2 linked regions of the Schizosaccharomyces pombe genome follow. The protein of the gene in region 2 interacts with the protein of the main gene of each other region in a biochemical or structural test. Each region holds a gene or a part of one and is shown on either strand. Other genes may lie near its edges.

Region 1 (3,576 bases), 3.7 Mb from region 2:
ATTATGAAGTCGCTAACAAAGGACTACTTTTACTCGTTCAACTATGCTTAAGAAAGCTCTAAATTTTTAAAAATAAGAATTAAAACGACCGTTAATTCTCTTATAAATGCAATTCCAGGTTCTAAAGAGAGGTTACATAACAAGCAGGAAAGAATGACTGATTATTTTTCACGAATTGTCTATTTTTTTTCGGCCGATAAGTTCATTACATGCTCGATTTGTCTTTGCAAAATATCTTTCCGCGATATATCAAAGCTATTAAGCTATTAAACAGTTCGTAAATACCTGAAAACAGTTTGTTCATATAAATATGTGCAATTCTTTATGCGAACCGCCATTAAACGATAAAGAATGCTGCGATAACAACCAAATCTCAATACCAAAAGTGTAAAGATTTTTAAAAAAAGCATTGTCTTCGTAGTTCTGTATTCTTTTATAAAACAAAAGACATAAATTTAACAGATACTTGAAATAAAAGAAATCATGTTTCAAATAAAGGTACTTGTTGTCATTAGTTTTCATTAATGTACATAATGTGTTATCTAAACTTGTCACTCTCAAGGCTGAATTCATTCGCATGAATTAACGACAAGTTTCTATAATTGAAGATAAATTCAAACAACCAAATTAACACATATCCGTTCCCATCAAAGTGAACGTTCATCTAGCTCTTGGTAATGTAGAACAAAAACAACAATTATTCACGAAGCCTGCTTTTCACTTATTGGTAGCAACATATCAAAGGGTGACAGTATAATACAGGCAAGCAGTCAATCAAAATTAATTTAGTCTCAATTACAATTGCCAAAAGTCCTGGAGAAAATTATGAGCGTTCGCCACGGAGACGACGAGCCAACTGCATATCCTTGGGTTGAATCGTAACACGTTTTCCGTGAATAGCACACAAGTTAGTGTCCTCAAATAGAGAGACAAGGTAGGCCTCAACAGCTTCTTGGAGAGCACCAATGGCAGAAGATTGGAAACGCAAGTCAGTCTTGAAATCTTGGGCGATTTCACGGACCAAACGTTGGAAAGGTAGCTTACGAATTAAAAGTTCAGTAGACTTTTGATAACGACGAATCTCACGAAGAGCGACAGTACCAGGACGATAACGATGAGGCTTCTTAACACCTCCGGTAGCGGGAGCGGCCTTACGAGCGGCCTTAGAGGCCAATTGCTTACGGGGTGCCTTACCACCGGTAGACTTACGAGCTGTTTGTTTAGTACGAGCCATTATATCAAGCTAGTAGAATGAATATCAAATAAAAAGACAATCGAGAAAAAAATAGCTGTTGTGCTACTTTTGCCAATTGTTGATCTTTAGAATTAATGGAAACGCAAGCGTACTGCAGATATTTGCTATATATATGTTTTGAATCCACCCGATCTCATCAAAAGCAGGGTTAGGGTTTTGATGCAGATTCAAAACAAATAGACAGCGTCGCCCCAACTTCCCTCTCTTCAGACAATCATTTCTTTTAATTGTTTTTGAATACGGATAAAATCCTTTGTCAATTTGCATTGACTTTTATCCTACCGTTAACATCTGTTGACATCTATAAATTCATTGTTCCTTTGTTAGTCAACGGAAAACCCCTTTATCTTTATTATACTTAAAGAATTACGCGTTTTTTTGCGTAGATTTTAATTTTTTCTACTTCTTAACATGTCTGGTCGTGGTAAAGGTGGTAAAGGTTTGGGAAAAGGTGGTGCTAAGCGTCACCGTAAAATTCTTCGTGACAACATTCAAGGTATTACTAAGCCTGCTATCCGTCGTCTTGCTCGTCGTGGTGGTGTGAAGCGTATTTCCGCTTTGGTTTATGAAGAGACTCGTGCTGTTCTCAAGCTCTTCTTAGAAAATGTTATTCGCGATGCCGTCACCTATACTGAGCATGCCAAGCGTAAGACTGTCACTTCTTTGGACGTTGTCTATTCTTTGAAGCGTCAAGGCCGTACCATTTATGGTTTCGGTGGTTAAACTCCTATTACATTGATTTTTTTCTCCTTGTTTGTATATCACTTTATTATTTACCACTTAATTCCTTTTTTACCCCTGTCTGCTATAAATGTTGTGCAATTGTTCGTGAAATTTGAATTATCTATCAATATAATTTTTGTGGATTATTACCTCTTTCTGCGACTTTCCCTTTTTCAGCAGTCTTATAAGTTCTGTTTTTAATTGGATTTGTTCTGCATATGTTTTTATGACTAGTTTCTTTTGTAGGTGATATTATTTTTTGCAAACAATGTCTTTGAATGTCACACTTTAATAAACTTAATTATCACGTTTCGCAAAATACTTCATTTTGTAGTCGAAAGTAGATACAAGTTGGTATGCAAAATGGTACAGTAATGTTTCCACTTCTACAAGATTATTTTTGTTGTTGTAAATTTACAGCGTTCATACATTTTGCGACTGCTTACTGATCATTGACATACCAAGCGTCAATTGGCTTCCTGATTCTACTAGCTGAAGTGCTAAAAAAAATTACTTCCTGTATTTTTATTCTACATTTGTATCAAAATAGATTTCAAAATACCTAACTAAATCGAAAATTTGAATTGTTGACTTACTCAATAACCTTTTGATAAACAGCATCAAATGGTGCTGTCATTCCAGTCCACAAATGAAAAGACGCAAGACCTTGACGAACTAAAGCTTCCAATCCGTTGCAACATTTCCATTCCAAGTCAGATGCAACAGCCATTAGAGGTGTATGCAAGGGCTTGTAAGCCATGTCAAGGAATACTCCACCATCGGCTTTGTTAGCAAGCAAAGCTTTAATAACAGATGCAACTTTTTCAGGAAGCTCAATATCTGCAGGAATTGTCGAGACGACCGCGGAAAGGGTAACACTAGATAATTCTTCAGAAGGAATATTGTCAGAATCTATTATATGGATGTTATAATCAGGAGGGAAAACGTCTTGAACACGATAAGAGTTGGCTAAAGTGCGGTTCAACAAATAAATTCGGGATACTCCCAAACGATGCAATGAGTAAATAGCAGCACGGCTAGTACCACCAGCTCCAATCACTAATCCATTAGTATCACGAAGAGAGACACCATCCAATGCATTTGCAAATGTATCGTATATGCCACGCCAATCAGTATTGTCACCTCGCAAAACAAGTTTGTCTCCAATTCTGATTGGAATTATAGTGTTTACAGCACCAAAAAATCTTGCCTCGTCACTGAGTTCATCCATGAACTTCATAACAGACAACTTATAGGGAATAGTAACGTTGGCGCCTCCGAAATCTGGTAAGTTTAACACCTTCTGCACTTCGTCAACTGTATCAGTTTCGAATGCCTCATAGGTATGTGGGAGCCCCAAAAGCTCATACGCGGTGCTATGTAAAATTGGAGAGCGAGAATGCTTAATAGGCTTACCAAAAAGGAAAAATTTCTCGGGAAGAATTTCGCCTATCAAAACACGAGCTTCATTAAGTTGTTTAACAGTCAACTGACCGGGAGCAGCCTTTGAAGGAAGTAATGGATGCGTAACAGGGGTCATGAACTTGTTAAGTATTCTCGAAAGTTGTCCGAAACGTCCCATGTTGAACAAAATCAAT
Region 2 (4,058 bases):
TAACAGATACTTAACTCAGATTTGCTTTTTTCTCATTTAGTACTAGTTTATTAAAAATAATAAAATGGGTAGTTTTACGGAACAGTTATAATAATCTCTACAAAGTTACTTAGTATGTAAGTTTTTTTTGCAGAATATTAATGAGGTTGAAGATTTCTCATGAAACAAAATCGAATATGATGAGACAAAAAATGTTTTAATATAAACCCTGATCAAAGTTTTTCGTCTTCTGTTGTTACATTGGGGTCGATAAGTTCGCCGTTCTTTACCTCTTCATCACGTTTTGTAGCTTCAATTTCCGAACGCAATTGCTTATATTCTGGGCTATCATTCCCCACTATAGTTAGCCATTTTTATAAATGTTTGATTCAATTTACCTATTTTTATCCCAAAGTGGTTTTGTAGAATAAAACTGAAAGATTAGTATTTTTATTATTTTGAGGGATTGAATTCTCAGCGCTATATTCAAGCTTGGTTTTTTAATTTTTGAATTATACTTACAGCAGATGCAACACCTAATGTGCAAGCAAACAATAAACCCATGGGACCGCCACGACTCCTTCCGCTCATCATGGTGCACTGTAGTCGGAGAGTCCGAATCATAAACTGGGAAATAGAAAGCCATATTGGAAATTATATAATAGCGACTACAATCATCATAGGATTTACTGAGGAAATAACAAAACATGTACACTCATTTGTGATTTAAACAGTTAATAATTCTTATTTACTTATAAGTTTTGCTAGTCAAAGATATGTAATTTTTTATGTACAACAAAAACCCCACATAAAATGGTCAACTTTAAGAAAAAAAATAACCAAAAAAGTTCACTTCGACGTCCAAAATTTAAAATATAAGTACATATGTATAAGATTTTAGCAACGCATACCATGAAAAAGAAAGGAATATTAAAAAAATGCGAACGCCGTTCAATTTTTTAGTATGCAAAAACCATAATTAGTATTTTTGACGGACCCAATTGAGGAGAGAAGTTGCAGATGTAACTGTAGATTTAGAGCGAATCGAGTCTTCGGCCTGCTGGAACTGCATTGTTTTAACAGGGTCAATAAGCCTAAATATTTGCTTAAGACGACTTCTCATAAGCGTCTCAGTCTCTGTTAACGGCGATGACAAGTTCTTTTTGTGTAAAAGTTGATGAATTAAATAATGCAGCCATAAAACGTTTGTAATGGGAAAAAACTGCGCCCATCTTCCTTTTGTCACTCTAGACATTAACCTATATATATCAAATTGGTAGTCATCTACACCGTTAAACAGATCGGGGTCGTTAAATTCATTGTAACTAATTATACCCTGAGAATACGATGCTCGGGCTAATGTAAAATCAATCAGCGTAACTTGAAGTATGTTGTCAAAATCATCAGCCTTATCTTGTGAGCCGGGAAAATCGACACTTTCAATGTCGTCAAGCGATATTTCATTTAAAAGAAACGAAACTTCCTCTTCACTCCGATCAGCTTTCCGAATAAGAATGTTTCCCCAATGTAAATCTCTATGCTCAAACTCATAACGAGTTTCAACTAAAGAAAGAATTTTTAATGTTTCATAAAAAACCGACCAGCACTCTCGCCAACTACGGAGCTCAAAATGTTCCAGATCTGTTCCTGAATGATCAAGACATAAAACACAATAAAGTTGCGTTGATGAATAGCTATCTGGTCGATCGTTCTCAGAACCATTTTGCATAAGATACCGATCCCATTCTTCTAATAAAAGTGAAGGATAAGTACCTTTAACGACAACTACTTGATGAAGGTTTGCAAAACCGTCGACTTTTATCCATTGGCTAATCTGTACTTCATTTAGGACATCAGCATATTGAGCTTGTCCGTCTTCTCCAAACGGGATAACTTTCCAAACAACGGGAACGTCATCAGCATTGCTGGCTTGGTATACTTCACTATAACTTGCTTCGCCAATTTTTTGGATCTCAAAAGTCTGAGACTTAACAAATTGACTGAATGGAAGAGCGTCTTCTTGCGCTACTATTTGGAGGAGCCGATGAAGTGGATCTAATTTGGAATTATTTGCGGGTTTTCCGGATAAAGCAACAGAAGATGACAAATTTACAACCTCTTTTTTACTGACTACCGACTTTGATGCATTATCCCGAGGAGAAGCCGGTATTATGACAGTAGGTACCAGGTTTTGATTTCGTTTCGCCAATAACTCATTTTCTTTGTATGAACCTTTTTTTAAGAGAATGTTCCAAGATAATAATGAATCTTTTTTCGGTTTAGAGTGAATATGCTCAAGGTCACTTCTTTCTTGGTTATTAAAATTTTCAATGTTCCGAGGTTTCAAAGCACAAGGCCGTTCATCTAAAGAAGCCCAAATTTCAATATCTTTATTAATATATCTACGGTTCTTTCCATAAGTTTTAACTTTTGAACGACTTTCCATATCTTTTCCTACATTTGTAAATATTGAGGTAGTAAGGTACGGAGGTGAGATGGAGAAGGCATGATGTCCGGGCTTAGTGATATGTTTAAAAAAGCATTCTGGACAAAATAAAAAATGCACAAAAAAACTTAATTACATTTTTCTTTAATTGCTTCTGTTAATTTAGCCAGCTTATCCTCCAATTGGGCAATTTTCCAGTCTCGGATTGCGAGTTCTTCCTCATATCGTTTCTCAAAACCTTCGAAACGTTTATTGAGATCGGCCAGATTGACTGCTGAAATATCTTTCTTATCTTTTGAAACATAAAAGGGTTCTTTCTCTTCAACTTTCTTACTTTCGGCAAGAGGAGCAGCTTTGGGTGCTTCGTCAGAAACTTCCAATTTCTTTTCCTCTGATGGTTCTTTCTTTACATCTTCTGAAAAGGTAACAGGGCTACTAGCTGGTTTCGGAAAAGATTTTTCAACAGGTGTTTTCTCACGCTTGGGCTGGGTTACAGTTTCTTCTTTCTGATGATTATCCTCATCACGTTTCTTCGATGGTTCTTCTACTTTTGATGCCGAAGGAGTAGTTGGTTTCACCTCCGGCTCTTTGGAAGGCTTTTGTTCTTCCGCCGATTCTTTCGGCTTGCTAACTGGCTGAGCTTCGGGCTTTGGTGTCTCAACCTTCTCTTCGTTATGTTTTTGTACCTGAGCACCAGCTGAGGGTACTGTAGCGGAAACAGCCTTTTCAACAGTACCTTTAGACTCATACAAAGTAGACATATCTAAAAGATCAGGCTGAGCATCTTTCCCACTGGCCCATTCTTCAGCTGTTAAGCTTGGTTTACCAGATGGGGCTGGAGGGTAAATATCGCTTTGGAAACTTTCAGATCGGCGAGGAACGATGAAACTTATAGGTTCAATGATAGAATCGTTCACGGACTTATAAGCACGCATAACTTCGTTTTCAGAAACATTAACTCCGCGTTTTGGCAAAAAGGCAATGCCTCGTTGGGGATCAACGGACTTGAATTCAGATAAATAATGGAAAACATCGTTTTCATATTCGTAATAGCGAATATTACCATCACCTTTACCTGCTAGATATATTACCTTTGTTCCATCATCCCAGAATGGCATAAGGATTCCCGAACCGGTGTCTAATGTGGTAAAACCACCTATCGGTTCAGACAGATTGGTAGGGTCCCATAAAGCGATTTGACGATCACTCATTTTACTGAAACCAGTTGTAGCAAAACGATCAAGGCTCCCGAGCCAAACGACACGGGGATTTTTAGCACCTGCATGACCATTTCCAACGGAGACTGGTTTATCAGTACGAGGGTCCCAGACGCGAACTTTCTTATCTCGAGAAGTTGTTACAAGTCTGGTACCATCAGCGTTGAACGACATAGACTGGCACATTACATCCATTTTCAGAGATACATGGGCTACACCCTTCTCACAATCCCACAACTTGATAGTATTGTCTGCACTAGAAGATGCCAAAACATTCGCTGCAGTGGGATGATATTGAACAAGACCAACTTTACTATACAAAAAAGTCAGTAACTAAAACCCTAATGCAATGTACGACATACCGGCTATGGCCCTTTAATTCAGCAATTGGATGAACATCTTCATAAGGCTCCATA

Evidence for each region.
Region 1: of the proteins of hrk1 (region 2) and hht1, one has a biochemical effect on the other in vitro, tested with the Schizosaccharomyces pombe proteins (one study listed by BioGRID).

The regions. Positions count from the first base shown.
Region 1 is NC_003424.3:4,697,487-4,701,062, reverse strand, and holds hht1 (histone H3 h3.1), read right to left. Parts: upstream 1,332-3,576; 5' UTR 1,235-1,331; coding exon 824-1,234; 3' UTR 503-823; downstream 1-502. Other genes in the region: hhf1 (histone H4 h4.1), read left to right, coding at 1,667-1,978; multifunctional aromatic polypeptide Aro1, read right to left, coding at 2,571-3,576. UniProt on the Schizosaccharomyces pombe protein: Core component of nucleosome. Nucleosomes wrap and compact DNA into chromatin, limiting DNA accessibility to the cellular machineries which require DNA as a template.
Region 2 is NC_003424.3:1,032,663-1,036,720, reverse strand, and holds hrk1 (haspin-like kinase Hrk1), read right to left. Parts: upstream 2,426-4,058; coding exon 959-2,425; 3' UTR 729-958; downstream 1-728. Other genes in the region: SPOM_SPAC23C4.04C (uncharacterized protein), read right to left, coding at 213-324, 378-688; coronin Crn1, read right to left, coding at 2,554-3,955, 4,005-4,058. UniProt on the Schizosaccharomyces pombe protein: Serine/threonine haspin-like protein kinase involved in cell cycle regulation. Acts in chromosomal passenger complex (CPC) targeting to centromeres by phosphorylating histone H3 at 'Thr3' (H3T3ph).